4 linked regions of the Pelodiscus sinensis genome follow. The protein of the gene in region 4 purifies or fractionates together with the protein of the main gene of each other region. This does not show direct contact. Links are inferred from orthologs where the notes say so. Each region holds a gene or a part of one and is shown on either strand. Other genes may lie near its edges. The genes, in order: C1QBP, HSPD1, HNRNPA0 and KRAS.

What was found.
Region 1: the proteins of KRAS (region 4) and C1QBP purify together in Homo sapiens (affinity purification with mass spectrometry; 3 studies listed by BioGRID and IntAct, with this or other methods). This does not show direct contact. The link is inferred for Pelodiscus sinensis from reciprocal best matches to the Homo sapiens genes KRAS and C1QBP.
Region 2: the proteins of KRAS (region 4) and HSPD1 purify together in Homo sapiens (affinity purification with mass spectrometry; 3 studies listed by BioGRID and IntAct, with this or other methods). This does not show direct contact. The link is inferred for Pelodiscus sinensis from reciprocal best matches to the Homo sapiens genes KRAS and HSPD1.
Region 3: the proteins of KRAS (region 4) and HNRNPA0 purify together in Homo sapiens (affinity purification with mass spectrometry; 3 studies listed by BioGRID and IntAct, with this or other methods). This does not show direct contact. The link is inferred for Pelodiscus sinensis from reciprocal best matches to the Homo sapiens genes KRAS and HNRNPA0.

The regions. Positions count from the first base shown.
Region 1 is NC_134731.1:25,931,677-25,939,883, reverse strand, and holds the start of C1QBP (complement component 1 Q subcomponent-binding protein, mitochondrial), read right to left. Parts: upstream 3,064-8,207; coding exon 2,829-3,063; intron 1,774-2,828; coding exon 1,623-1,773; intron 1-1,622. Other genes in the region: uncharacterized protein LOC102447468, read left to right, coding at 3,191-3,291, 3,608-5,246.
Region 2 is NC_134717.1:71,507,531-71,514,997, forward strand, and holds the start of HSPD1 (60 kDa heat shock protein, mitochondrial), read right to left. Parts: upstream 3,052-7,467; coding exon 2,878-3,051; intron 1-2,877. Other genes in the region: MOB-like protein phocein, read left to right, coding at 5,018-5,107, 7,057-7,221. UniProt on the Homo sapiens protein: Chaperonin implicated in mitochondrial protein import and macromolecular assembly. Together with Hsp10, facilitates the correct folding of imported proteins.
Region 3 is NC_134727.1:31,945,778-31,952,929, forward strand, and holds HNRNPA0 (heterogeneous nuclear ribonucleoprotein A0), read right to left. Parts: upstream 3,187-7,152; 5' UTR 2,917-3,186; coding exon 1,993-2,916; 3' UTR 326-1,992; downstream 1-325. UniProt on the Homo sapiens protein: mRNA-binding component of ribonucleosomes. Specifically binds AU-rich element (ARE)-containing mRNAs. Involved in post-transcriptional regulation of cytokines mRNAs.
Region 4 is NC_134711.1:118,849,979-118,858,033, reverse strand, and holds the start of KRAS (GTPase KRas), read left to right. Parts: upstream 1-4,815; 5' UTR 4,816-4,823; intron 4,824-8,055. UniProt on the Homo sapiens protein: Ras proteins bind GDP/GTP and possess intrinsic GTPase activity. Plays an important role in the regulation of cell proliferation.

The sequences.
Region 1 (8,207 bases), on a different chromosome or scaffold from region 4:
GCTCACCAAATTTCAGTTGCTGACATTGCTGATATGACTAATGGGGTCTGAAGTACAGTATGCACTTCACTGAATTTCCAAGCACTTTGCATGGTGTGCTACTCTCAAAGATAAACTGTACTAAGTTTAAAACACATAAATTCCTTGTATTTATGAACGAATGTATTCTTAGTTTACTAGGTTAAATTCATGTTTCCTGTTTCCCCCCAAGGTAAAATGGCCATGAATCCTTAGAAGACAAAGGCAAGATACAATGGCAAAGTATACCCCATTGTGCTACAGCAGTGGTCTCCAACCTTTTTACACCCAAGATCACTTTTTAAAATCTCAGAACAGGCAAAGATCTACCACCCCGCCCCTTCCTTGAAAGCCCGCCCTCTCTATTCTCCTCCTGTCCATCACTTGCTATCCCCAGCCCTTACTTACACACTCTGATAAACAGTTTATTTTTAAATTATGCGATACATACAATTAAAATCACATGTTTATAGTTATGAAATAAATGGTCTGTTTTTTATTCATGCTATTTAAATCTAAAATGAAGCATTTATAATTATACATTTTTGTGGGGACAGAGTTCTGTGGCTGGGGGCAGGGGAAAGGGAACAAGGTGCTGGGAGGGCAGAAGACAGGTTTCTGCAGCTGGGGACAGGGTGCCAGTGGGGACAGAGTTCGGGGAGTGGGGACAGCGTTCTGTGGCTGGGGCCAGGTGAGTGGGGACAGCGTTCTGTGGCTGGGGAGTGGAGACAGAGAGTCCCCTGCATCTCCCTCCTCCCAGGATTCTACCCCCCACCCCCAGGGAAACCAGTGTGTGCCTGCCCCGGCGCCAACCCCCCCTCCCCCCCCCCCGCCCAGGAAAGCCCCGCGTGCACGCCTGCCCCGGTGCCGATTCCCCCGCCCCCGCGCAGGGAAGCCCCACGCGTGCCTGCCCCGGCGCCGACCGCTCCCCCCCCCCCCCCCGCGCAGGGAAGCCCCGCGCGGGCACACCTTGCCCAGGGGGACAACCCCCCGGCGCAGGGAAACCCTGTGCGCGCTTGCCCCGGCGCCAACCCCCCCGCCCAGGGAAGCCCCGCGCGCACACCTGCCCGGGGGCCAACCCCCTGCGCGCTTCCCGTGGGGCTGACTCACCTCTCCTGTGCAGTGCAGGGAGCCAATGCTCCCTCCCACAGAACACCCGGCAGAGCAGCTAGTGCACTTCTGGAATCGCCGGAAGTGGCGCTAAGCTGCAGGACTTCTGTCCATTCCCGGGAAGCCGACACTACCTCCATTTTCACTTGAGGTAAGTAGTGGGGCTTCTCGGGGGTGGGAGGGAAATGGGGGCAGGGCAGACAGGACGCCTCGCGAGCGACTGGTTGAGGCCTCGCGAGCGACCAGTAGATTGCGATCGACCTGTTGGTGACCACAGTGCTACAGTATAGAAAAATAAATTGACTACAAAGCTTCTGTTATCTGTACTGGCCCTGAATGACAGCAGAGCTGACAATGAGAAACAGCACTAAGTTAATAGCTTTTCATTAACCTCAATCCTGGACAAAACATGCTGGCTGCAATTTTTACCAAGTCCTTTATGTTCACTGAAAAGATCAAATATCAATTAAGCAAAAAACCCATCTCACACTTACCTCTCACCAGCTATTTTCCGCACCAGTTTAGCCTCGGTGCCATGCACTTCTAGCTCCCACCCTCCAGACATCTTGGGCAGGGATTTATGTTTCTGGATCTTCTTCTCCTCTTTAATTTCATCTGTCAGAAACTGTGCAAATGCTTTGTCCCCTTCAAGGAATAAAAAAGACAAAGACATTAATACACCTGAGTTAGAAACATTGTTCCCTAGTGGTTAGATGAGAAAGTAAAGTTAAGCCTCAAGATTCTATTTCTAGTTGAGCTACGTACTTGACCAAATAGCTTGTGTGTACCTCAGCTTATCTGGGTATAAAATGGTGAGGTAAGACCACAGACTTTATACTGATATTAGAAGGCCTACTTGTTCATAAAGTGTTTGTTCATGTTCAGCTGAAAAGCACTATACTGTTGAGGGCAAAGAATTATGTTGATTACAGAGAGAGGACATGTAAGAGCCCTTGATTTGCCAAAGGTTCTGAAGTTCTGGATGAAGGCTTAGGTAAGGAGTGATTACTAAAAGACATTATTAAAAAGCTCTTCTTTCAATATATGCAAGTACTGTTACAGGTACAATATAGGAGGGAAACAGCACCTAACTTATGAATGAAGTGAGCACAAGAAGTTGGATGGCATCAACCCCTCTCAAGTTATGCAGATCCACGCTGCTCTGCAGTCTTCTTCAGAAGCCCAGATCTCAGGCTTCAGGATTTGCATTTAAGGTGATGCTTTTACTGGTTCATCAGGTGACCAGTTAACCTTTCACATCCCTCGTTAAGAGGGGTGGAGGAGTGCAGCGATGCACATAATAGAAAGGTTGAGAAACTTGCCCAAGGCCGCCCATTTTGTCAATGGCAAAATTAGGAGCAGAAACTGCCTCAGCCCCAACTCCCCCTGCTGTGCTAGCCAGACCTCTCCCATGGCAGGAGCCAGGAGACGATGGAGACACAGCAGGCTCTCCCCGCAGCTGCCCGAGCGCAGCATCCCGCCCCCGGGGGGGAATCACCAAGCGCTGAGCGGAGCCGGTCACGGCCAGGGAAGCCGCCGCGAGTCCAGGCCGAGGAGCCAGACGCCGAGCGCGGCTCAGGCGCAGCGCGCACGTCTGGGCCCCTCGCGGGTGACCCGCCGGCCCCAGCCCCGCGCCTCGGAAACCCGCTCTGCGTCCAGGGCTCCCTGCCCCCGCCCTGCCTCCTTCCACCCCCCATTACCCTCGGTGTGGAGGCCGCCGCAGCCGCAGGACAGGCCGGCGGGGGAGGCCCGCGGGGGCCGCAGGAGGCCGGGCCGCTGCGTCCCGGCGGGGTCGGCGCTGAGCAGCCAGAGGCTGCGGGTGAAGGGGCGGGCGGTGGCGGGCCGCAGCAGCGCGGAGGGCAGGAGGCGCGGGGGCCGCTGGGGCAGCGGGCGGAGGGCAGCGGCGGCGGCGCGGAGGGCCCGGGCCAGCAGCATCCTTGGCGGGAGAGCGAGGCCGAGTGAGGCGCGGGGCACGTGCGGGAGCAGAGGACACGGGGCGGCCCCTGGCCCGGAAGCGGAAGCTGTCGCCCGGAAGTGCACGCGGTCGCCCGGAAGTGGTTCGATGAGGGGGCTTCTGCCTCTTCAGGTCTCGGGCAGCGGCAGCCGCGGGCCGCCCTTGAGCCGTACAAGGAGTCGCGTCCCCGCCTCCACCGAGCTCGCGTGGTAAGGCCCCCCCCCCATTGCCGCTGGCGCCCCCGCTCTAAGGCCGGGCCAGGGGACCCTCTTCCCGCAGGCCGATCTCGGCGCGAAGCAGGCCCCGCCCAGTAACCGTCGCGCGCCCCTCCCGGCCCCGCCCAGTAACCGTCGCGCGCCCCTCTCGGCCCCGCCCAGTAACCGTCGCGCGCCCCTCCCGGCCCCGCCCAGTAACCGTCGCGCGCAAACCGATCGGAGGGGCGGTTCGGAGGCCGCGGGCGGGCGGCAGTTGGCCCGGGGCCTGCCGGCTCGAGACCTAACCGCTGCCTCGATTCGTGCCTTGCAGCCGCGCCGGGGGATTGCAGCCCTGCAACGCGCCCCCCCCCCGCACCGCCGGAGCCGCTGGTCCCTGCGGGATCCATTCGAATTCACTGACCTCGCGCGCTGGGCACCTGCTGTGGAGCCGTGTCCCCGCATCAGGCACCAATCGAAGTTTCCCGGAGGTGACGTGTCCACGTTCAGAGCCGGCCTCGGCCTCGGCGCCCCAGGCGGAACTCTGGGGAGCGGCTCCGTCTGGTGTCGACTTGGGCTTTCAGAGGCTCCTCTCCATTCTTGCATCCCACAAGTGCTCCTCCATTACGCCCCTGTTGTGCAACAGGAAAGGGACACGGTGGGCACCTGTCTTGTTGTGCCCTGGGTTCCCACACTGGCACCACAGCCCTGCAACCATGGAGCCAGAGCAGCTGCAAGGCAGTGCCACGCTCATGGCTTCAATGCTGCGCCTCATGGAGCAGTACTTCGACAATGCCCGCACGTTGCTCCAGCAGGAAGAGGAGGAGGTCCAGCATGGCCCAGAAGCCATGGTTAGCGAAGTGTTGGCACTCCTGCTTCTGTACATGCCTCTGACTCCCCTCGACACAATGGAACATCGCTTCTGGCGGAGGGAGTCAAGCACGGACTGGTGGGATCACATTGTCATGCAGGGATGGGATGATCAGCAGTGGCTGCAAAACTTCCGCATGCGCAAGGCCACCTTCCTCGAACTCTGCGAGTGGCTTGACCCTGCCCTCAGGCACCTGAATACCCGAGTGAGACCTGCCATCCCCGTGCAGAAACGCGTGGCCATTGCCCTCTGGAAGCTAGCTACATCAGACAGCTACCGCTCAGTCGGGAATCAATTCGGGGTGGGGAAATCCAGAGTCAGGGCTGTGCTCCTACAAGTAGCCAAGGCCATCAACCACATCCTGCTACAGAGGTTTGTAACTCTGGGCAACATAGACAACATCTTGGATGGTTTTGCCGACATGGGCTTCCCCAATTGTGGGGGGGTCATAGACGGAACACACATCCCCATTGTGGCTTCTGACGACCATGCCTCAAACTACATCAACCAAAAAGGGTACTGTTCCATGGTGCTGCAGGCACTTGTGGATCACAAGGGACGCTTCACTGACATCAACGTTGGATGGTCGGGAAAGGCGCATAACACACGCATCTTGCAGAGCTCATCCCTCTTCAGTAAGATGCGTGCTGGCACTTTTTTCCCCCATAGGGCAATCAAGGTCGGAGAGTTGGAAATGCCCATTATGATCCTGGGAGATGCAGCCTACCCTTTGCTCCCCTGGCTCATGAAGCCCTACACAGGCCGCCTGGATGCCAGCAAGGAGGAGTTCAATAACAGGCTGAGAAGGTGTAGAATGGTGGTGAAATGTGCATTTGGGCGTTTAAAGGGGAGGTTCAGGAGTCTCCTCACCCGCCTGGACATCAGCGAGCTCAACATGCCCTTCGTGGTGGCGGCATGTTGTGTGCTCCATAACCTGTGTGAAAACAAGGGGGAGACTTTTCTTCCAGCATGGGGGGCTGAGGCAGAACGCCTAGCTCGGGAGTTTGAGCAACCAGACACCAGTGCCACAAGGAGAGCACAGCAAGGGGCATTGTTCATCAGAGACGCCTTGAAAGACAGTTTTATGCAAGACCAGTTGTGAGACTCTCCACCCTGCATTCTGTGTGTGTGTGCGTGTGTGAGAGAGAGAGATCCCCGTCTCTCTGTTTTCCTGCCCTCCTTGGCAGAGCAAACAATAAAGAGATCATTGATTAACAAACAGGAGTCTTTATTCAGTGGACATACAACAGGGAAGGGAATGGAGAAAGAACCTGTAATGGGGGCCAGGGCTGGGACTGGTGTTTGCCTCCAGGTGGCCTAGAGGGCCCCATGCCTTGTGTTTTGGGGTCCCAGCAATCCCTGGAGACCCTTGCAGGGGTGGCCATCGAGCAGGTGGGATGTGGCTGGTGGCCCAATCCATGCATGCTGCTACATGCTCCAGCACTGCTGTGAGGGTAGAGAATATGTTACGCTGGTGTACCAGCTGCTCCCATGTGGCCTCTGTCTCCTGGTCAGCCTGCCGCTCCTCTCAGTAACCTGCTCCAGGTACTCTGCCTTGACTTCCTGCATGAGGGACTGCAGGCAGACCAGCTGCTCCCTCATGAGCATGTCCCATGTTCTTATTCATCTGCAGATCCTGGTCAGGTGGATAGATGCAGCAGGAAGTTAGGGACATGCCCAGCTCACCGCTGTCCTGCTGTGAATTTACAAGGGCAGTCTTCACAGGAAACGCTTTGTATGAAGCCTAGCCCTAATCACTGAGCCAACACTGAAGGTCTCAGTTCAGACAACAGCACTGTGTTTTGAGCAAGGCCATAATTTGCTTCTAAAGCAGGTACTTTCCAGCAGGTGCACAGACATCCCAGGGGAGCATCACAAACACAGAGACTGGAGATAAGTAGGCATGGTAAGGTGCCCACCAGGCCAGGACCATGCCGGGGGGCGGCTCAGCTTCCTACTGTGTCCTGCACATGCTGGGTCTGGCACTCGTGGCATCCTGCGGTGAGAATTTCTATCAATGCCTGCTGGAAGGAGAGGGGAAGTGTGTATGAGTGGCAGAAAGTGCTAATGGGTTCCCCTCCTCTTCTTCCTTCCAGCAGGTTCCTATGCATATCATCAGTCTTCCCTGCATCACTGTGCTTGATTTGGAGCGAATGCTGACTGTGTGCGGGCATGAATCAGGGCAGCGTGCTACACTGCTATGTGGTTCCATGACCCCAGACTGCTTCCTGGTGGCTTAGTGTAGGAAGGTGTCCTACCACAGAGGCTGGAATAAGGCAGGCCTCTATGGGAATCGTGTGAGAAGGATCAAAGGGTTCCTGTGTGACAGCATTGTGGCAATGAGTGCTCCAGCCTGACACGCCATCTACAGACATGTGAACAAGCTGTTCTGCAACCCTCGGAGGCTGTGTCTACACTGGGCCACTAATTCCGGAAAATCAGCCACTTTTCCGGAATAAGCTGTGAGCTGTCTACACTGGCCCTTGAACTTCCGGAAAAGCAACGATGCTCTACTGTACAAAATCAGCCGCTATTCCGGAAAAACTATTCTGCTCCCGCTCGGGCATAAGTCCTTATTCTGAAACACTGTTCCGGAAAAGGGCCAGTGTAGACAGCCCAGTAGTCTTTTCCGGAAAAGCGCATCTACATTGGCCACAGACGCTTTTCCGGAAAAGGGGCTTTTCCAGAAAAGCAGCCTGCCAATGTAGACGCTCCTTCTCCGGAAAAACTGAAAACGGAATAGTATTCCGTTTTAAGCGGTTCTGGAAATTCATGCCAGTGTAGACACAGCCAGAGTGAGTAACAGAGAGGAGCATGCAGCCCTTTGCCTGACCCTCACTTGCAGCTAAAGTTAGAAAACTCACCAGAAGTGCCCTCCCCAGGGTTGTCAGAAGCCTGGGAAACATCCTGGAAGGGGCGGACCGGCTCCAAAGCGAGGAGCAGCTCCTAGCTCTCAGGCATTGTTGCCTTTCTGGCATCCTCCTCCATCACCCTGCCCACCTGCAGGCTGATGCCAGGCATGTCTAGGCCAGACTGGACCACGGCGGTGGAGGTAACCGACTCCCCTCCCAGAATGACATCCAGCTGGTTGTAACAGTGGCAGGTGCTGCCCCAGAACAGCTGCTCTGCTCCCTGGCCTTCTGGTAGGACTGGCACAGCTGTTTGATTTTGAACCTGCACTGCTGCAGGTTCTTGGTGTGGCCTTTGGCCAAGAAGCTGGAGACAATCCTACCATAGATGTTGGCATTTGCCTGCATTGTGCAGAGTTCATGGAGGTTGAACGCCCCCTCCTCCCCCCCCCGCCCTACTCAGTGAGATTCAGGATCTCCTTAGCACTTCAGGCTGGAGCTCTTCTGCATCCCTGGGCAGTGGGGGCCATGGGAGCAGAAGTGCTGGCAACCATCACGATGTCAGCGAGGACAGTGGGGGCACTCATGTCTCCATGTGCTGGTCACTTGCACAGGGCTCACAAAGCTGATCACGTGGGACATGACATCAATTCCAGGATGAGCGCCGCAGGAGGGGAGAGCAGTGGGTTGGCCAAGCGTGGCTGGAGTGATCAGCTGCAGGAGGCCTCCCAGAGGCCAATTAGTGACACCAGAATGTCTGCACTACTGTTATCTTGGACGTACAAAGTTGGAACTAGTGGTACTCCTCGTGAAAAGCACTACAGGGTTTGAAGTCTGCAGCCCGCAATTGTGGAATAACGGGCTTGGTAGTGTGAATGCTTCACTTAGGCTACATCTATACTGCGCTGTCTTGCGCAAGAAAATATGAAAATGAGACGAAGCGGTGAATATTGCTATGCTGCATTTGCATACTTCATGAGCTGCCATTTTGCTCAAGGGGCTTTTGAGTGTCTCACTTCCAGAAGGATAGGTTTCAGAGGTAGTTGCTTCAGCAAAAACAACAAGGACTCCAGTGGCACCTTGAAGACTTTTATTATAGCATTGCCTTTCGTGAGTTTCAACTCCTTTAATCAGTGGACACTCACGAAAGCTTATGCCATAATACAATGGTTAGTCTTTAAGGCAGTGGATCAGGATCTACTGGTAGAGCTTGG
Region 2 (7,467 bases), on a different chromosome or scaffold from region 4:
TTGCTTCATGGGAGCCTCCTTTACCCTGCAGAGGCAGCACCATAGAGCTGGTGCTGGGGGAGGAAACCAGCTTTTAAGCCAGCTCCTGCCCCACCCACTGCCTCTCATACAGAGGCAGCAAGCAGGTGGAGGGAAGCAAGTAGTCAAATACTCGACTCCCGGCTACACTTAGCCTTATCTGGTAGCCAAGAACTCAACTACTTGCTCACATCACTAGCTCAGGGGTGTGAAAAGTTCACAACCAGTTCTACCAACCTAACTTCCAATGCAGACAATACTATGTTGTTGGCACTTTACCACTTTTTGCATCATTTTGTCAACCCTCACCTTGAGGAACTAGGCATTCTCCTATATGTGTTACATTTTTGCTCTTCGAAAAAGCTAAGAAGGTGCCACCTCCAACTATCACGGAGTGACTAGCTCTTTTAAGAGGGGGCAGGGCCCGGGCACCTACTGATTAGTTGCCTCCCAAAGGGGGTTAAGAAAAGGCACCTGAGCTACATAAAAGCGAAGTCAGGAAAGCCGGATCAAGAAGAAAGGACAGATGCAGAAACAGAAGCAGCAAAGGAGAGCAGGTGCAGAGAGCTATTGGGAAGAACAAAAGCTAAAGAGTATTACTGATGGGGACTGGCCAATGCTGAAAGCTGGTGCAGAGGCCCCTAGAAACAAAGGGAAGAGCCAGCCTGGTTAGGGAAAGTCAAATCCAAACCAATAAGATTGATGCAACAGAATGGTTCCCAAAAGCAGGAAGAATTTAGGAAGGCCTACGTGAGTAACTCAGCTAGTTCACGTGGGAGACCTGATTTGGGATTACCAGAGAATAGTCAAGAGGAAGGAAGCAAATGTGGGAACTCTCAAGTGGATGGCCTGGAGACTGGAGTTCTGGAACATGACAGATGATATCCCAGAATGGGGGAGGGGGGAGCTGAGAACCTCCTCTACTTTAGGATTTTGGAGAGAATGGTGTTATGAGGAGTCTGCAGATTACTGAACAAATACTAGAATACTATTCTTACAGTTAAGCCTTTGAATTGAACATAGAAATAAGGGTTACTTTTATGGCTGGACCAAGAAGAAACTCAGATACACACACACACCACCCCCCCCCCCAGCGCAGCTTATGGCTTGGGGGTTACCTTGTCAGTCATGAAGACAAACCAATTCCATTTCCATTAACACAGAGTAACTGCTTTGAGAAACCTAGTCTTACATAGGTTTTTAGATTATTTTTTAAAAGCCATGACACAAATTAAGTAGAATTTCCTCACCACTTGGTTTCTCTCAAGCTGACATTTTTTGTTTACAAAGAACTAGGGGGCTGCATCCCCTGCTCACTATGCTCGCCAACCCTCCTTCTCTGGGGGTAGGCAGCCAGGGTCAGCCACTGGGAAGGGCCAGGTTGATGCATGGCAGCCCTGGCCTACCCCCTTTCCTCCCACCCATCACACCAGTCCTGGCTCTCTTCCTCCAGCTGCCAGCGGGGAAAGGGTGTTAGGCCAGGCGGTGGCAGCCCCGGCTCCCATCTGGAGCACTAGAGAGGGAGGAGGTAAGCAGGACGTAGTGACATAATGACATCACTGTCATCCCACATGAAAAAATTTAGATTAGATAGATATTTAAGGAGTGTTGAGTAATGAAACACTCACCTTTGGAGATAACTCAATTATATGCGCGCGCGCCCACACACACACACACACACACTTCCAATCCTGCAGAGACCTACTGTGTATAATTTTATTCATGGAAGTAATCCAACTACATGCAATGGGATTACTCACTAGGATAAACACTTGCAGAATTGAGCCTAAAGGTGTATTCACCTAACAGCCACTCCTTTTATTATATCCTTGGGACTTGTTCGCGGTTACATGGTTTACCAGGGCAAATCAGGAGGAAACCCAATACAGAGACCCCAACTTTGGATTTATACTCGCTAGAGAAGTGGTTCTCAACCTATCGCCATTGTGGGTCACAGCCACACACTATAGATACACAATACTGCCTATATAGCCCTGAGGGTGTCACTTGCACCACAGCTATATGCTGATTGAGCACAAAGTGGTCCACAGGTCAATAACCTCTGCCCAGGAGAGGTGTATGATCTCCAAAGCCTTGCGTTAAACACAACCCCTATCCAAAATTACTGTCTTGCTCCAACATCACAGCTAGTACTCTGAAAACCTAAATTTGTTGTAGGTTGTTCAACTACCTCTATTATAGTCAACACTGCATGTTCACATAAGCCACGCTATTTACTAGGGATGTAAATCCTGATTAATCAGCTAAACAATAACAGATTAATCAACTGGTTAACCAATTAAGTGGGACTCCAGCTGCCAGCATCAGTCACCAGGGGCTGCCTAACAGTGCTGAAGCAGCTCTCCATCATGGCAGGTTGAAGCAGTAGGCTGCTCGTGGGGAACCATTTATGTTGTGTGATGGGAGTACTTAGCTTCCTCCCAACATGAAATTGGGTTTATTACTTTAAACTGAACTGGGTTCTGAACATGACACTTCTAAAACAGTAACATTCCATTAATACTAACCATCATAAATATATCCTGCCATAAGTCATCTTCCATCCACTGAACAATTGTCCAGCCAAAATTTAAGTGCCTGTATGGTGCTGGAAAGACTAATTTAGCAGCACAGAGATTAAGTTCTAACAAGAGTCTGGCATATTATTCATTTACTATTTCTGTGCACACAGTGGTTTAATGACTGATAAATTAACTTATGCACTGTATCTACTATAATTTTGAAATGGTCCATTTGATGACATTTTTTACTTTACGAATACCTCAATCCCCAACTGGTTTATAAAACAGGGCTGTACTGAACAAGAATTCACATTACACAAAAAATAATTTAATATACCTTTGGTCCCATGGTGACAGCTACAGCATCTGCTAGAAGATCTACTCCCTGTAGCATAAGAGCTCTAGCATCTGCTCCAAATTTAACATCTTTTGCATAGGTCCGTAGTAGGTGTGGGGCCAGTGCTCTGGACACTGGCCTCATCTGACGTAGCACTGTTGATAAACGGAGCATTTCTGAAGCATAAATTAAAATAAAAAAACACAACCACGTTAGTTTTCATTTGTCACAGTCCTTTGAACAGCCTTATTCCTACATTTTGTCCTCAAATTCCTCCCAAAATTTAAGGAATAAATAAATTACTAATAGTTCTTGAGTTTTAAATGAAAGCTGTGACCTAACAAATATTCAGTACCCTAATTTTACTAGACACTGGATACCAGAGCGAAAGTCCGGCCACCTGGAATCCTAGATTCTAATTCCAGCTCAGCCAGTGACAGGCTATGTGATCCTGGGCAAGTCACAACTCCTGCAGCTCCGTTTTTAGTCTGTAAAATGTGAATAAAGTGTATCAAGCTCACCAGAACGTGATGTTCATTTTGTTTTTCACATGCAGAGATTACAGCCACGGTGACAATGAGTTTTATCACAGCACTATTATGTGTTAGAGAACAGGGAAAGGGGCATTTCTCTCTCCCAGAGTGGGCGGGACGACTATAGACAAGGCTGGTCAGAGCTCAGCAGCTTTATCAGCAGAAATGTCCCCAAAATGAAGTCCCCGTTCCCCAAGGGGCACGCGACAGGGAAAGCCAAGCCCGCGCTGTCCCAGGGCGAGAGCATGTCACTAGCAACTAGCACAAAAGCTGCAACAGTAGCAACAGCCCGGCAGAGTCAGCAAAGCCCCGGCCCCCCGCACGGTTCTCACCGTCAGGACACAGCAAGGTCAAGAGGCGCTCGCCCCCTGCTGCTGCCGAGCCGCGCTGCACGGCGGGCAGGGAGCGGAGCCGGCCACGGGCTCAGGGCAGCGTGCAGCCCGGCAGCGGAAGGCACGGCACGAGGGCCGGTTCCCACGCGTGCGGGGCCAGGGGCGGGGGCAGCGCAGCCGAGCGGGGAACACGCTGCCCCCCCCCCCAGGCTCGCCACGTCTCCCCCGCCCCCCCCCACAGGCTCGCCACGTGCCCCCCCACCCCGACCCCCCCCAGGCTCGCCACGTGCCCCCCCCACGTTCCCCCCCAGGCTCGCCACGTCTCCCCCGCCCCGACCCCCCCCAGGCTCGCCACGTGCCCCCCCCAGGCTCGCCACGTCTCCCCCCGCCCCACGCCCCCCCCAGGCTCGCCACGTGCCCCCCCGCCCCACGTTCCCCCCCCAGGCTCGCCACGTGCCCCCCCGCCCCACGCCCCCCCCAGGCTCGCCACGTGCCCCCCCGCCCCACGTTCCCCCCCCAGGCTCGCCACGTGCCCCCCCGCCCCACGTTCCCCCCCAGGCTCGCCACGTGCCCCCCCCCCCACGTTCCCCCCCAGGCTCGCCACGTGCCCCCCCCAGGCGAAGGTCTCCCCTCCCCCCAGCCCGCGCGCAGGAGGCGGGGAGCCGCTCACACCGTGCGGGCCGGGCGGACAGGGGCTGTGAGGGGCCGCTCACCTGCGCTGGGAGGGCTGGGAGCTGGCGAGCCGCGCGGCGGGACTGACGGGAGCCTGGAGGGAACACGGCGCTGGCCAGCCCTGCCCCTCCCCCGCGCACGCAGCGGCCCATGTGGGTCCCGGGCAGCGCGGCCCCGCAAGCCGCATAACAGCATACGCGGGCCCCGGCGAGGGGCGGGGCGCGGCTTCCCGCCAATCGCGGAAGCGCGTAGCCGGGGCGTGGGCGGGGCCTGCGAGACCTCGCGCCCTATGTGCGCCCGCCGCTTCCTAGCGTGTGAATCATACAGATTTCGGGGCCTCCCCATTCCAGAACCTTCTGGAACGCTCATGCTCGCCACAGGTCAAAGGTGGTATTGCGTCACTTCCGGATGTTCGTCCGCTGCCGGGCGCAACGAGGCGGTACTGAGGCCGCCGTTTAACATCGCCGCATAGAGAGTCCGGTTCTCGTGCGGAAACTGCCGGCGAGAGTAAAAAAATACAAGTGCCGAAAGCATTTGTCTCCCAGGAACAACGGAAGTAGCCCCGCCTTCCGGCGCGCGCCGCTCGAGGGGAGGGGGAGGCGCATGCGCAGCGGGAGTGGTCCACCCCACGTGCAGTCGCGGCGGGTCAGTGGGGCGCTCAGTCGCAGAGCGGGAGGGACACGCTGCGCCATGGTGAGCGTCTCGTCCCGCCGCGCGGTGCTGCCGGGGCCCGCCCCTGGGCCGCAGTGGGGGGGCGGCGGCTCTGGGCACCCCCCAGTTGCCGCCCTGGGGCTGCGGGGCCCGGGGTTGCCCGGGGGGCGGCGGCGCTGAGCGCGGGGCCGGGGGGCGGGGGGGTTACCGCAGTGGGGCGAGACGCGACACGCGATCGCCCGGGCACATCCGCTGGGTCGGCCCGGAGCCCCTGGGCATGGAAACGTGTCCTAGCAGCTGAACAGGCAGCGAGCCTCCCTGAACCCTCATTCCCAGCTGGCCTGGGACTTGCCCAGGAACCGTCTTCTTAATCAATACAGTATAATTGGGCTGGGTTTCGTCTCTTGGCTTGTCCCTGAGCCTGACCTTGCCTGCTCACAAGGTCATGTAAATACCGCAGAAACTGTTAAGCCATGGTGGTAGAGATGTAGCCGTGTTAGTCTGGGGTAGCTGAAGCAAAATGCAGGACAATGTAGCACTTTAAAGACTAACAAGATGGTTTATTAGATGATGAGCTTTCGTGGGCCAGACCCACTTCCTCAGATCAAATCATGTTAAGCCATGGAACCAGTGAGGGCAAGGATGACCTTTTTCAAATACGTTTGTTCTCTCACCGTTTCTATCACTAAGAGAGACAGTAAGTTATTTTTAAAAGTCAAACTTAATACAGTGATATTAAGTGCTACACAGTCCTGTATTTTGTTTCAAACTTAATAAAGCGATAGTGAGCTCGTATTAGTAGGTCTCTGTAATGTGTCTTTAGACGATGCCAAATCCAACAGCCACAGCGGGAGGAAAAAACTCCTTTCTAATTTTTTCTATTTTTTTTTTGTTGATCCCTTTAGTATGTGGTCGTTCCTGTCACAGAAAACACTGATTTAAAAGAACATAAGTTAGTATAAAAAGACCCCAAATTCTTAAATCTATGCAATTGGTTAAACTAGATGTTTTCAACATGTTGATAGCCTTGCCCAAGTCTTAATAGAACTGGGGGATGAACCAACGTTCGCTAATACTTTTAAGAATATTTTTGATCTGGCAATCATATCCGCATCCTGCTTCCAAATTTATTTTTTTGTGTAGCAATAGCCCCTAAGGGAGAGATCCGGGCTTGTGCGTTCTCTGTATTTCTAGCTGATTCTACACGTGTCCAGGCTGTGGCACTTTGACATCTGTAGAAGCAACTGGAATGGTGCTGGAAGCCAGCAGCCTGTGACTTGGCAATTCTTCATATGCAACAACTTGATTGCTTTTAAACTAAAATGTGTTCTGGCTCTCTTTGGCTCCCTTTCTTGTGTTACTTGCTTAGTGAAGTTGCAAGGATTGCAGACTTGTATGTGGCTTGCACTCTGTGATCTCAAACACTGCTGTTACCTCCTGGCTCAGTAGTTAAGACTGACATTTTTAACAGCCCTAGGTTGGTAACCTTTGCTATTGCCTGCTGCTAGCTTCAAAGTAATTGCAGTTCTCAGTGTTGGGTTTTCTTTCTCCATCCTCAGCTGCACCCGCTCCCCCTCCTGCTTTCTGTTCCTTCTCCATGCAGCAAAGAGGCAGTGTTTGTAATATAGTTAATATATTATTATATATTTTAGAGTTTGTTTATTCAAGATCTCCTAGATGGTAAGAGTTGGGACCAACATAAGGGATGGGTATACGTGGAATGGGATCACTTCTCATAAAACCATACATAAAAGAGACACTCACCAGGCAGGTGAAAGGGGCTGATTGGGGGTGCACCCTTCTCCACTCTCTGGGACTGGCCAGCACTGAACCTCCCATCTCGCAGGGCCCATTAGGGAGGATGGGAAGGGCTGAAGCTTCTGCTGTTTAAATAGTAAAATCTTGTATTTTGGATTGCAACTTTGTTGCAGTCTCCAAAGTGATTTGGTCTTTTCTGTACAGTACAAAAATATTGAATTCTATTTCAACAGGCTGGGAAAGCATTTAGGAAATTTCTTCCTTTATTTGACCGTGTTCTGGTTGAAAAATGTGCAGCTGAGACTGTAACCAAAGGAGGAATCATGCTTCCAGAAAAATCTCAAGGGAAAGTGCTACAAGCAACAGTAGTGGCAATTGGATCAGGATCCAAAGGAAAGGTAAATCTATCCCAATTTTGCACATCACTAACTTTTTTGGATAAAACAAATAGAAGCAGGATGTTATCTGAAAAATGAAAATCTAGATAGCTAAATGATGTTTGTCCTTACATTTACATTGTGCCTGATCTAAACAATGTCTATAATATTTTGAAGAGGACATTTTTAAAAAGAGCCAAGATCTCCTCAGATCTAATTTGGCACAGATAGTCGCTGACCAATTTACTGTGCTTGTCTTTGTCCCCA
Region 3 (7,152 bases), on a different chromosome or scaffold from region 4:
TCAACTGATCTTATTTTGATTTAGCATAACTCCAACTGAAATCAGTGTCCACGGAGTCACTGATTTTTTTAAAACAATGATTTGAAAGTTACACATCAAAATGGGTGGAGCTCATGGATTTGTAGTGCGCTATACTACTTCCATTTAAGACAATGGTAATTTTGCCATTAGCTATAATGGAAGTAGGATCAAACCCATGGAATGCAGTGAGAAAACAATATGGTTAAAGGTTAAACATTAAATGCTTAGAAACCTGGAACCAAAGTGACTTTACAATTTTTTTTTAATCCATACCCCATGTCATACATACTCTCACTCAAGCATGTAAGGAATTCAATTCTTTATTTGTGATATCCATAAACCCATAAACGATGCTATTCTATATTTCTATCCAGGAAGGCAGATTTCCCCTATAACATTATGCTTTTTTTTTTCCAAATAAACAACAAACTTTAATTCTATTGCGTGAAAGGGCTACAAATATACATTTGTTAATCAAGCAGACTACACAGATATTTTGCTTTACAACTGGCACCTATGTTACCGGTACACTTAGCTGGCTCATTCATCATAGCACTTTGCCCAAACAGTTTAGATTACCACTTCTTTTGAAGGATGGGCAGTTGTAAGTTTTAGAAATGTACTGAAGCAGATATTTCAAATCCATTTTGTTTCAGTCAGTATGCAGGGAGCCCATCTTTAGTCACATGCAGATTTGATTTTTATTTCAGTCTACGCCAATCATTTAATGGCATATGACACCTTTCAAAAAAATCTAGTAGAGTTGTTAGCAAACAATTTTGCCTCTGTTGTAACGAAGCCTACAGCAGCAGTTCTGCCATTCTGCCAGTAGATGGTGCTGCAAAGGATACTCGGGAACTTTAACGAAGGACAATAGTTCAGATCAAGTGAAGAGTCTGTTTTAACCTGGTACTATGAAAACAAGTAGGCATTTAATTGAAGGAATAAATGTTGACCCTTTCCTGTAGCGAATCATTTACAGACAAGCCAATAAGAGGATCTGAAACTAAGCAATTGGAAATTTTGAACATTTTATATGAATGAAGCACATGCTTAACACAAACTATTTCTTTAGAACTACACAGTACATACGTTGATGGAAAAGTCCTATAGAAAAAATTGACCAACCATGTCAGCACGTCAATCAAACTGCCTAGTACAAGATGGTGGATGCACACAAACTGCAAAAGTGAGAATGAATATTTAAAAAACATACCACATCCACCAATTAGTACTTCAAAAATTTGTCCATAAAGTGTTTGAAAACCAATAAATCCACTAATGGGACAGCAAAAATAGTAAATTAGGACCTTTACTGGCAATAAAGTCTCTAAATACATAGAGAATTAAAAGCAGAGGAACAATACTTGTTTCAAACCCAGAAAAGCCTTAAACCGTACGGAATGGATCCTAGGAAAAAAGTTAGACATGTAAAGGTCAATGAACACAATGATTTATTTAAAAAATAAAAAACGTAAAAACGATTTTTTTCCTCCTTTACAGAAATGTTAATTTCAGTCATGGGATCCAAGCAGATTTTGTAGGGGAAAAAAAATGTAGTAGCCAGGTATCGAGTCCTTACAACAAAGTAAATTCCCCCCCATCTTCCTCCCCCGTTTTTACTTCAGAATCAGCAAGACATTTCCCACCCCCCACCCCAAAAACAAAATTAAAACAAGACATTTTCATTGCTAGTATAAAAACGACCAAGGTCCAAGTAATAATAAAAAAATAGAGTCCATCAATGACTGTAACACAAAGTATGTGTGTGTGGGGCCCAGTCCATCTTCAGAGAGAAAGAAGTGGCACAGGCAGAGCACCCCCAGAGGGCATTTAGGAGCTGCTCCCACAGCAAGGGAGGCATTTACTAAGAACTGCCCTTAGGCGAGTGAGCGGAGAAACCATTAGAAGGTGCCCCGTAACAAAGGGAGGGCTCTCCATGCCACCCCCGATGGGTATGGGCGCTCCCAGTTAGAAGGAGCTGCCGCCATACCCTCCCCCACCATAGCCTCCTCTGTACGGTCCACTGTTACTGCGCCCTCCCCAGCTGCCGCCCCCTCCTCCTCCGCCGCCGCCGCTCTTCATGGGGCCGTAAGAGGACTGATGCTGGCTGTAGCTGCCGAACCCGCCGTACCCGTTGCCATAATCTCCGCCTCCACCACCTCCTCCGTAGGAGCCGCTGCCGTAAGACCCGTAGCCGCCGCCTCCACCATAGCCTCCGTAGCTATTATAGCCGCCGCCTCCTTTGGAGAGCCCGTTGTGGTCCCGGTTGCCGGATCCACCGCCACCCCGTCCTCGTCCTCCTCCCCTGCCGCCCCGAGAAGGCCTCGAGGAGCCGCCGCCTCCGCCTCCCGACTGGATGTCCTCTTTGGGCACGGCCTTCTTGACCTCCACGCGGTGGCCCTGGATCGGATGGAACTTGACCACCGCGGCCTTGTCGGCGGCGTCGTGGTTCTGGAAATAGACGAAGCCGAAGCCGCGCTTCTTGCCGCTCTGCTTGTCGGCGATGATCTCGGCCTTCTCCACGGGGCCGAACTGGCTGAAGTGCTGCACCAGGTCCCCCTCGCCCACGTCCCCCTTGAGGCCGCCCACGAAGAGCTTCTTCACCTTAGCGTGGGCCCCCGGCCGGGCCGAGTCCTCCCGGGACACGGCCCGCTTCAGCTCGACCGCGTTGCCGTCCACGGCGTGGGGGGAGGCGGCCATGGCGGCGTCGGCCTCCTCCACGGCTGAGTAGGTGACGAAACCGAAGCATCGGGAGCGCTTGGTCTGCGGGTTGAGCACCACCACGCAGTCGGTGAGGGTGCCGTAGGCCTCGAAGTGCTCCCGCAGCCCGGCCTCCGTGGTCTGCACGTTGAGGCCGCCAATGAACAGCTTGCACAGCTGCGAATTCTCCATGCTGCCGCCGCCGCCGGGGCTGCGCCTGGGCCTGGCGCCGAGACTCCTCCTCCTGCTGGGGGGCAGCGCGGGCCTCTCCACGTACAACGAGCGCCGCAACTTCAAGACAGCAGCAGCTGCCGCGGCTCCTCCTTGGCCTCGCCTGGGCTCGCCTCGCCAGCGACCCGACCGCCGCTGGTTCCACAGAAAAGCGGCCTGGGGGTGGGGGAGCACACCGACACGCACAAAATGGCGGCTGCTACTCCTCAGGCGCTCGGCCGGCAACTGGTGCTCACACAAAGGGGACGCTGGGAGCCCCGCCCGCCGTGCCGCCGTAGCACCCGCCCTCAGCGCACACTGGGCCAATAGAAAGGCGCAGCAGCGGACGTGAACGTGTCACTCACTAGAAGGAGGGGCTTCGTGCGTGATTGACGTCTCCAGGACTAATCGGATGACGCGACCTCCGCCGCGCGTAGGCAAGAGGAAAAGAGAGGGTGGGAGTGAGATAATAACTGACGTCCCAGCGAGCCAATCGACTTCCTGTAAAGCAGAGGGTGGAGAGGCGGGGCCTAATCAAGAATCGACTAATAGGATTCTGCAGCCTCAACTCGCGCCGAGAGAAGAGGAGGGAGGGAGGGACCGACTTGAAGCTGCGATAATGCGTCAACCCCGAGGACGTGAGCCAATAGGTCTCCTCCTTCCCAGTCGCGCGCTTCCCATTCCCCCCCAACAGCCCCGCCCCCGCGAGTGGGGGAAGGGCGTCGCCTAGCTTTTATGGCAGGCCGCGCGGGAGCGTTTGAAAAGCTGACCGTTAGGCAGCAGTTTCAGTTACAAGTCCCTCTCCCCAATGAAATGAGAGAGAGGCCGCCCCCCCCCCCCAGCACGGGCTTGAAGCTCCCAGCACCTCGCCCGAGAGACGGGCTCCCCTCAGTCATGCCCCCGCCCCAAGCACTTGCCCCGCAGTGAGAGCAGCCGCCTCAGGGGCCTGGCCAGACTCCTGCCCAGCAAAGCTCCCCCACCTGCACTGGGCCGGAGGGGCGGCTGAGGCAACCAGCCATGTTGAAGCGGATAAACCTGAGGGGACACCCCCCCCCCCCAGGGCCGTTCTCTCGTGCCTGCTGCGAGCACCGCAGGGCCTTGCTCCCCGCGCCCCCTGGAGCTCGTCCCTTGCGGCCCCTGTGCTGAGCAGCGACTCGGAGCTGGCTCTCTGCGGGGCAATTCATGGCTGCTCACACCGTGCTCCCCACTCCCCATCCATCTGTCCCATTGCTCTGCCCCCCCCCCCCCCCCCGGCCTGCCCTGGGAGATGATGGAGGCCAGGGAGGGAGCGGGTTCCAGCTGGCTCGGGGGCAGAGGGATGGGCTCAGTCACACCTCTGCTGCTGCTGGTGTTTGGCTCCCGCGCAGCGCACTGGGAAAAGCAGCGGGTGCTGGAATACGCTTTAGCCTTGTCTAAAGTGGCTTCCATTATAAGCCTGGGGGTGCAGAAGCAACCCCAGTTCAGCACCTATGTACTGAGGAGCCAAGAGCAAAGGGAAAACATGCTCTGTGGGGGTCAAGGTGACATTTATAGGCCCCCTTCCTTTGATTAGTGGGAATCTGCCTAGGATCCTTTGGTGGTCCACTGACACCTGGGACGGGGCCTTGCCAGGCTGTGAGGCGTCCGCCTATTCTCACGTTTAATTTCCTATCATAGCACCTAGGCATTTATTTTATTGTGCTCCTTCCTTCCCATCTGGGTTGAGTTATGGATTTGTACTTTCCTACAACTCATTATTTTCACATTGCTTGTCTTGGGGTAGGAGTAATGGGTCCAGCCTATAAGAAAGATATTTCCTTACCTTTCTCCTTGGCTGTGTCCAGACTCAGGGGTTTTTTCGAAAAAAGTAGCCTTTTTTTGAAAAAACCTCACCTGCGTCTAGACTGCAGCTGCGTTCTTTCGAAATTAAATCGAAAGAATGCGGCTTTTCTTTCGATTGCGGTAAGCCTCATTTCACGAGGAAGAACGCCTTCTTTCGAAAGTTCCTCTTTCGAAAGAAGGCGTTCTTCAATGTAAATAGGGCTTCTTCGAAAGAGAGCATCCAGACTCACTGGATGCTTTCTTTCGAAAAAGCAAGCCGCTTTTTCGAAAGTTCAACGTGCAGTCTAGACGCTCTCTTTCGAAAGAGCCTCTTTCGAAAGAGGCTTGCAGTCTAGACATAGCCCTTGTTTTTTAATGGACCAACTTCTGGTGGTGGAACAGACAAGCTTTCAAGCACCACAAACCCGAACTAGGAATGTCAATGAGTAGTCAACTAGATAATTAACCAATAAGCCTAGGCTTATCAGTTAATCTTGTTGACTACTTACATCCCCCCACTTGCTGCCTCTGTATCAGAGGCAACAAGAGAGGGAAAGCAGGAGCTGGTGCTGAAGGGAACCAGCTTAAAAGATGGTTCCCCCAACACTGGCTCCACAGTCTGCTGCCTCTAGCAGAGGCAGCAGCGAGGGTGAGGGGAAGCTGCTTCATGGTAGCAGCCCCTGTCCACAAGGGGTCCAGGGTACCCACAGACAGTGGCTGCTTCGCATCTTCGAGGTAGCAACCCCCAACTGCGGGAGAGGGTCTGAGCTCCCTGAGGACAGGCTGCTCTGCATCTCCTGGAGTAGCCTCTGTCCATGGAGAACATGGGACCCTCACGGACAGGGGTTACTGCCACCCCACTCTGCTGCTTCTGTATCAGAGGCAGCAGCGTGGGGTGCCAGGCAGCCAGTCCGTGAGGGGAGCTGGTTTTTAAACTGATACAGAGGCAGCAGAATGGGGTGAATGGGCGCTCCCCGGGTGTGGAGCCAGGAGCGCACTGGTTGCCAGCCCTGCCCCCAGGTACTGTTGAATAATTGTGTAAGCACAAAGATTTCATGTGGTTACACGACTACTCAAATACCTGCTATCTAACATCCCTAACCAGAACAAGAGGGCTGTGTCTACATTGGCAAGATTTTGCGCAAAATCTTGCCACCTGTCTACACTGGCCGCGAGTACTTGCGCAAGAACACCAACGTTCTAATGTATAAAATCAGTGCTTCTTGCGCAAATACTCTGACGCTCACGCTCAGGGATAAGCCCTCTTGCGCAACTGTTCTTGCGCAAGAGGCCAGTGTAGACAGGCAATGTTAATTTCTTGCGCAAGAAAGCCTGATGGCTAAAATGGCCATCGGACCTTTCTTGTGCAAGAGAGCGTCTACACTGGCACGGATGCTTTTGTGCAAAAGCACATCTCTTGCGCAAAAGCACATGCCAGTGTAGACGTTCTCTTGCGCAAATACTTTAACGCAAAAACTCTTGTGTTAAAAATATTTGCTCAAAATCTTGCCAATATAGACGTAGCCGAATAGTGCCTGGGAATTAACTATGAGGTTAGGAAGTTGTCCCATTGCCTAGCAAAGTATGTCCAAGATTAAGTGGGCCACCAAGGGATCGTAGCTTCTCCAAGAGATTCCCACTAATCAAATAAGAGGAGCTTGTAAATGTTGCATAAACCACAAAGAGCAGTAAAAGATATTCTATCACCCACCTTGCCTTTTACATTTTAAAACCATTTTTCTTTTCATAGCCCTTCTCTATTCCCTGTTTTACTATATTCTCTTGTTTATCCCTTTTGCAGCTCTCCTTACCCCTTTAGGTTCATTTTTACTTCCCTTTCATGTATGCAGTGGTGTTATAGACGTATCAGTCCCAGGATACTAGAGAGAGTGTATGGGAGAGGTAATAATTTATTGGGCCAACTTCTGTTGGTGAGACAGAGAAGTGTTGGGGCTTACACAGAGCCCTTCTTTTCCTTTCATACAGCTCTCAGTCCCCCACTCTCTTTTTGTTCTTCCTGCCAGTGTTTTCCTATCCAATTTTCCAATCTATTTCATACTCTTCCCCTCGAATCACTATTATCCCTTAATTGGCTTAGTTAGTTCTCAATAACTCAAGCAATTGGCACTTTCTATTTTGCTAATGGGTCAGGCATACCAGTTCCAGTTAACCAGGAGGGACTGGAGCAGCCCCTGCCTGCCACGGACAGGGATTTACTCCAGCCCCACAGGGTCCACCGCAAGCAGGGGCTGCTTCAACTGGCTGGCCACAACAGCCCCTATCTATGGCAGGCCCAGTCTTGTCACAGGCAAGGGCTGCCGCGGGTGGAGAACACCATTCCAGACCAGTGGACTGAAATGGCACTTCTGCCTGCCCCCATTTAATCAGTTAACCGGTTAAACTTAACATTAACTTGCT
Region 4 (8,055 bases):
CAAATGTCATATTTTATAAGTCTCCATTTTTATAAAAATTGATGGGTTGCTGGGAAGATGCATGATTTTTTTGAACCAAGTTAATTCAGTCCATGTACCTGCATATGTTAGGTTTAATCTAGTTTTGTTATCTGGATGAATAGCTGGCAGAATACATATCCATAAATTCAGATGATTTATGAATCCTGATTGTTTTTGTAAACATAAGTGCCATAGAAAATATCCATTGGCAAAGAAATAACCTTGATAATTGAATTGCATTGGCTAGTGTATGTGTCTGTCTCTTCCTCATGGGATGGTTGCTATATGTATCATTAGCAGATGTGTAGTCTCTGCCACTGCGTAGTTTACACGTTTTTTCTTGTGTTTTTCATGTGTTTCAGAAGTATATTTAAAGACATTTTAATGTTTCGTATGTTGTTTAAAATGAACCATGAACAATTTCCTCTGGCTAATAGTGCTTGTGTTCAGTACCTTAGAAAATAGTCACTCTTAAAGTTGCAGCAATTTCTTTCGACAACAATATATGTCTCAGTAAAGTTTTTCAAGGCCATTGTTTAAATAGAAAAATTACCCGTCATTTCCTCTCCCCAGTCTGTGTGACTTTCTCAGGACTCACAGCCAGTGAATGAGAACATGAACAAGATCCAATTGTCTGCTCATAAGCAGTGGCTGTAGCAAAGTGCTGACAAGATTTGGATCTTGAAAAAGGACAGATTATGCTGTTACATGGATTTGATCTGGCATAGTTGTCATCAAGCAAAGATCCCCTTAGTGATATCAGACTGGCCAAAAAAGAAAGCAAAGTGGCTTGTTCTGCTGCGTGCACAGAGCTTGGGCTGTGGAATGAAGAGTTTATGCATCCCAGCTGGATTTGTAGGTTAATGTTATAAACATCCTTTTTGAGATAGAACATAGTAAGAATGCACTCGTTGGTTCATGCTCGAGAAGGAATAGAATAGATCAGGCTTTCTCAAAGTGTGCTCCGTGGAGCCCTGGGGCTCTGTGCAATGGGTCCCGGGGACACCACGAGAAAATATTAATGACAATTATTTGGAGCAATGGGTTTTTTTTCAATTAAAAATGGAGACAACATTTTTTATAAATAACCTATTGAGAATTATTGTGGCTGTATTCAATAAATAAGCTTGACATGCAACATGAAATGGGGGTAGGGGTTGTATAAAATGAAGAGTAGTTTGGCAAAACACTCAGGCTATCGCTGACAAACATAGAAGTGCGCTGCGGTAGCATATAGCAAGTTGCACGAGAGCTAGAGGCCTGATGACCTATATCAGAGGCTTCAAGCACCTGATACTACCGTCTGGCCTACCTCTTCACAAATCAAAGATTTAAGACGATATTTATTTCCCCCTTTTTTTGGACTGAAGTTCGCTGAAATACAGTGCACTTCACACTGCATTGTCGTTCATTTGACAATACATCACTGCCTACCCTTAGTATCAAAACACATTCTCCATGGATAAGTGGGTCCAAAAAGAAACTTTGGCTTCTAACAACTGGACTTTGGCTGGAACAAACAAAGCAAAATATTGGGAAAGGAAAAGGACAATCAATGCCTTTTGTGACTGAAAAATCAGAAAGTGAGCTGTTGAAGAGGAAACCACTTTCATCCACTGGATTAGCAGCAAGCAAAAAGAAACACAAGTATGATGAGTGTTATTAGTCTTTTAGTTTACTTGCATTGGAAATAAAGATGCTCCCGATGCATGGTGTGTGGTGTGTAACAATGTCCGTTCTCTGACACTTGCTAAATTATGAAGGCACTTTCAAATAATAAACTCTCAGTGATACAAATCACTAAATTGGGTAATGAAAACACACAGAAGCATGCTACAAAGTGAACTACCTTATTGCACACGCTGGAGAAGCACATACAATTGCAGAAGAACTCATCCAGCCTTGTGTAAGATATATTGTAACATGTATGCCTGATGAGCAATTGAGTTAAAAAAGTGGCACCATTGTCAAACAGTACTGTTGCATGTTGCATTCAAGATCTTGTTGCTGACAATAAGAAAGACCTAGTAAAGGCTCCACCAAATTTTCAGGACTCCATAGGGGATCCATGACCAAAAATGTTTGGGAAACCCCGGAGTAGAGGAACTTCACTTAATATAACAGCAAAAGAGTTGAAGACCTGAAGCAGAAAGATCCACTATAGGAAATCAGGGTTTGTCTAATGAATACTTAATTCATATCCAACTGGGATGTGACTCTACTCCACCATGCTGTGTCCATGTGGATTCTACTGCTGTGCACAAACACTTCCCTACTTTGCATTCATATATTTTGGTTTCAATGTAGGTTAGATAAAAGTTCTGTAGGGTACTTTTAGTATTCTGCAAGAGAATGTACATAGCTACATTAGTGTACAATGGGCTAGTGTGTGGAAGATTTACATCCAGCTTATGTGCTAGATAGGGCTTCAGTCACCTGAGATATGATGGTCTATACCACTGCACTTGAGAATCAAATTGTCAATCTTTGAAAATCTCCAGCTGATTCAAAAAACAATTTGCTCAGCCTCACAGGTGGCATGCTCATCATTAGTCCATGATTCCCAGAGCTGCATTTACTTTTCACTGAATACAGAGTCAAAATTTGAGGTTTCTGTCCTGTCCTTTTCTTCAACCTCATCTACCATAATGAGTGGCAATGCTAGGTGGACATTGTGTTTAAACACAGAGAACAAGTTAGTGTGTTACTTTTAGAATAAGGTACTCATGCTATGGGGATGAGTCTCAGCAGACAGAGAGATACTAATTCAGTGCTACTCAACTTTGGAAGCTCTGGGGGCCACAATGATCCTCTCAGCACATGTTGAGGGCCGCAACTTAAGTGTGGTTGCATGTACATGCAAATATATATGCAAATATATGCAAATAGCTTCATTCACACTGACGGGCATCAATACAAAGCACTTCCCATAATGCTCCAACTCTCCTGGCACCTTCTCTCTGGGGGCTAGAAATGCTGATATCCTGTACCTGTCTGTCCTAGCCAGCCCATCCGCTTGTGTCTTTCAGTGCTCATCCCGCCTGGGAGATGCCTCCCCGTTGTGGAGCATGTTCCCAGTGGAGGCCATGTTCAAAGGATCCCACCCCTGGGGCTCATGTTGAGCCCTGCGAAAACCCAAACCATCCTGTGGGCTGCAAACAAATGGGCCACGGGCTGCATGCGGCCCGGGGCCGTGTGTTTAGTAGCCCAGTACTAATAGATGATAAAGAAAACATGTTACTGTGACACTGACCGACCAGCCACCTGTGTGTGACCCAGAACAACTTAACATGATGTACTACAATTGTATCAAAACAATTCACCTGTCTGTGAATTTCAGAGATGTACTAGGCTAGCAATCATTAACCCGTTAATTTAATAGAAATCAAGGGAAGATATTAACCTATATCTTGTTAGAAGTTTAACAAAGTAATCAAAGTAGCTGTAGATGCTAATTCTCTTTCATATCTTAATTGCCTTATGTTACATGTGTGGATGGTTTAGTTAACCTTAAGATCAAAGATGTGAGATACTGCAGGAAACTAATAATTTAACTACATTGTTTTCAGCTTAACTATCTCTGTTGCCTTACAGTGTAATGACATTATCTGTGTATGCATAGGAAATAGAAAATTAACTTCAAAGCCTATGTCTGACAACTATTTGCAATGCCTATTCTCCCTCAGAGGAAAGTCCTGCTGTGACAATTTCTATGAGGAGGCTTGTCAGCCTGCTAGAGAGCTATAAAAGAGAAGCCTCAGGCCTGATCCTGTCTCTCAGGTCTGCTTTTATAGAGCGGGTCTAAACCACAGGACTGAGCTTTCCAGGTAATTTATCGGAATTACCCTGGAATTCTTATGGAAAACCCCCGACTCTTCACCTGAACTGCCAGTTACATTGTAACCCTTTGAATTGATTTCAGAGAGCCTTTTACAAATCAGCAGCCTCATTGTCTCTGCTATGAAACTAGATAAGGACTTTACACTTATTCATATGTATATTGATTTTTTAACCATTTGTAACTCTTCTTTTTTCCCTTTATTAATAATTCTTAGATTTATTTATTAAGGATTAGCTAACAGTGTGATTTTAGAGAAGATCTGGGTTTGCTGTTGAACTTGAAGTGTCTGATCCTTTGGGACTGGCAGAACTTTATGTATGGTTAACAGGATTTCCAGTAACCTCTCACTATGTTAGACTTGGTTGTTTAGATGGGAGCCAAGGGCTGGAATGCCTAAAGAACACTGTGTTTGGCTTTGGTGGAGCTAGTTATAGAATAAACCCACTAGTTTTGGGGATTGTGTACCCCATTTCTTATAGTCTGCCCTAAGCGTGGTATTTTCAATGTGGCCCATCCATGCACCCCAGTCACAGTTATGGTTAACAACGCTTTATGGTGGAAAGGTGAACAGGTCTGATGAAGGGCCATGTAAAGTTGGTAAAGTCACCAGGATCACACTCTGTTCTAATTCCACATATACAACCTCCTGGGATAAGCTTGCCACTCTTTCTCCATTTCCACTTATAGCATTAATGAGGGTTACAATGTCTCCTATGCTGAGTCCATCTTTGAAAAACTAACTTTCTTCCTCAGCTTTAAAAATGAAGACAAGTTAATCATTTGTGAGATTGCAGGAAGCAAGGGGCAAACGCTGTTTGTGTGAATACAATGGTTTTCCGGCGGGAACAGCAAAAGGAAAAGTGAGATCTTATGTAGGAGTAAAGGCAGGCCTGGGCAAAATACAGCCCATGGGCCAGATCCCTTCCTCCAAGCCACTGGATCTGACCCGCGGAGGCAGCGGGGAGCCCCAGGCAGGCTCATGAGCTTGCCCCGCATTCCCGTGCGCTGTGCAGAAAAGTGGCTGCAGGGCTCCATTTTTGTTTTGAACCTGGAGGGGAGAAGGGAAGTTTTAGGAGCTGCACTGCCCCCAGCACATTCCCCTTGGCCAGTTTTTGGCAGAAACTGGCTAATGGGAGCTGCTTGTTAGACTAACAGGCAACTAAGAAGAATCACACCCCTCTCTTGGGCTCAGTTATTCATGAAGGTCATGGCCAGGCAGGCAGGCTGGCTGACTGGGAAACATTTTAAGCTCTGCAGGCAGGCAGGCAAGTTTGGCAGCTGACAAGTAAGTCTGTTGGCCACAGCCTGCTTCTGGCAACCCAGCCCTTTCCTGCCCAAAATCTCTGCCCCTCCCCCCCCCACTCAACATACCCAAACCCTCTGTTCCCCTCTTACACCCATACCCCCTTCCAGATCTGGCACCGCAATCTCCTGCCCCAGATCACAATCCCCTCCTACCTTAGGTCACATCCCAAACCCCTGCACTCTAGTCCCCTGCCCTAGGTCACAACCATCTCCTTCGCCCAAACTCCCTCCCAGACTCCAGTCTTCTTGCTGCACCCCAGTCCCTTACCCAAGCTCCCTTCTGCACCCAATCTCCATTCCAGACCCCTCATCTCCATTAATATCATGGAAGAGTGCGTTCCTTGACCACTTTCCAAAATCTTGGTGTGGCCCCCTGTCAAAAATTATTGCCCACCCCTGGGTAAAGGGCATAGGGGTGCTGGATGGACTTTTGGGGACAGGTTCAGACAAAAGCTGGCAGTCACTTCAGGTTTCTTTGGCCAGGGATTTTGAAACATAGATCCATTTCTGGGAAAACACATCTAGGTAACAAACCCATGATGTTAGCTTTTTGAAATAGTTTGCTTCTTAGGTTAGAACTGTAGTAGAAGTTCACTAAATCACACTTCACTAATCCTCGCACCCCATCATTTGCACACATTGGACTAGATTCTGATATTGCTTGTTGTTTTTTACATCAGTTTAACTCCATTGACTTCCGTGAAGTTGTTTTCATTTACATTGTGAGATCAGAATACCCAGCAATTTCTCCCTGTTTTTCAGCAATCATTTAACACCGTGGTCCCCAACACGGTGCCCACGGGCGCAATGGCGCCCGCGGGGGCATTTCCATGCGCCTGCCAGGTGCTCGGGGCTGGCCTGGCACCGGGCGCAGGGCAGGGGGAGCGCCGGCCCCGGGCGCGCGGCGCAGGGCGGGGGGAGCACCGGCCCCGGGCGCGCGGCACTGGGCGGGGGGAGCGCCGGCCCCGGGCGCGCGGCGCTGGGCGGGGGGAGCGCCGGCCCCGGGCATGCAGCTATGGGGGGGCGCCCCGGGCATGCGGCTATGGGGGGGGCCGCCCCCAGGGCGCAAGTGTCCCCGCCCCCTGGCGCCCGGCGGGCGAACGGCCCCGCCCCCTGGCACCCGGCAACCTTGAAAGGTTGGAGATCACTGATTTAACAGAAGCCTCTGGTGTGGGTCTCTGTTACTTTCACAACATTCACTATGGAACACTGATACTTCATTGTATACTATTATTAAAACTACAATGGTCAACCAAACAAATGCATTCTGTGATGTATTTTCCTTGATTTTTTTAACCCTGTTTGCTCATTTACTACTTAATTTGCTAAATTCAGTAATACTGTGACATGGATTACTCGGTCATTAGTGAAGTTCCATGTGACGTGACAATGTTAAGTCTACAAAGCTAATTTTCCATGTTTAATTTGTAATCCTAAAGCCTGTCACCTTAGAAAGGAGGTTATTAAATACACATGCACACACACTCAGTGTAGGCCTACTTTAGCATAGGCAAATTATCTGAATTTCATGCAGACTCAGCACTGAAGAGTGAGTGAGGCCAACATTTCCTTTGGGCAAGGCACTGAAAGGAAATTGGAGGAAGGTTGCACAATAAGTGAACCTTCAAAGGAAACATGGAGTTGGAGAAAGGACTGCAGGAGAGGGAGCACAGATTATAAAGAGAATGAGATTCAGAACTGATGAATTTATGAGAGTTAATGATGGACAGCTGTAGGTGAGCAAAGTGGGGTGGATCTTAAAATATATATTCTTGTGCCGGGGGGAAAAGAGTTGGAAGGAAAGAATGGATTGTGTTATGTGAGAATGGAGAAAATAAGTAAAGAGATTAATTGCATAGAAAAAGGGGAAAGTAGGGACAGGGAGACTGTGGATTTGGGAAAAGAAGTTGTGGATTTCAGGGATTAGGAGAAGTAGAAGGGAATGGTGAAGGAGAGAGAAATTTGGAATCATGGAGAAAAGAAAGTGAGGGAGAGAGAAGTAAAGAGAGAGAGACTTCAAAATATAGAAAGGGAGCAGTGGGAATGGAGATATTAACCATATAGCATGGGTTACAGAGACGTGAGGCTGCTTCTTTATATGTCTGTGTTTGGGCCTGGGAAATGTGAAAGGGCATTTAGTGCTTGGCTTTGTGTGTGTGGCATTTATGGGTAATTTAATATAATATCATTTGCCAATTGGCAAGTTATTCAGGTAAAGAATACCAGATATATACACAGTAAACATGTTAATTTAATATATAAAATGATTATATACAAGTGTCTTAAAATCTACTCTAACTGTACATTGTATTTTTAAAATTTCCAGAGAATGCCCTTCAGGACGCATTCTCCTCCTCCGCACCCCCATTCCTATTTAAGTTTGGTGATTCCTGATAGCTCCCCAAAGCCTCCCATTTCCTTTTGGCTAGCTATGGGCCTACTCAGGGCCATGAAACATCTGAAAGTAATTAAATGCTAATAATATTGGGCATGTTCTGTCCTGCACTGTTTTTATCTTAAACTTTCTTTGTAAATGAGCATGCAGGTATCAGTGGAGAAAAGGCCAACGGCTTTACTGTAACTTTGCAACAATTACTGCGGTTTCAATGTGTTAGTTCCTTTACAGACAAATATGATGAACAATCAATGTTGCAGTCTAGGGCCTTGCTCCTGCACAGATATACTCAGATTTACACCCTGGGAGTAATTCCATTGATTCTGATGAAACCACTCACAGGGCATAAAGTTTGAATGTGCGAATTAGTCTTTGCAGGATTGGAGACAAGGGCTCTGATGATGCCATTGGATGTGTCAGGTAGACCCTTGTGCTCATGCAGCGTTCTGCAGACTTCAGTGGAACTCCAGGCGAGGTGGCTCCTAGTGAGATT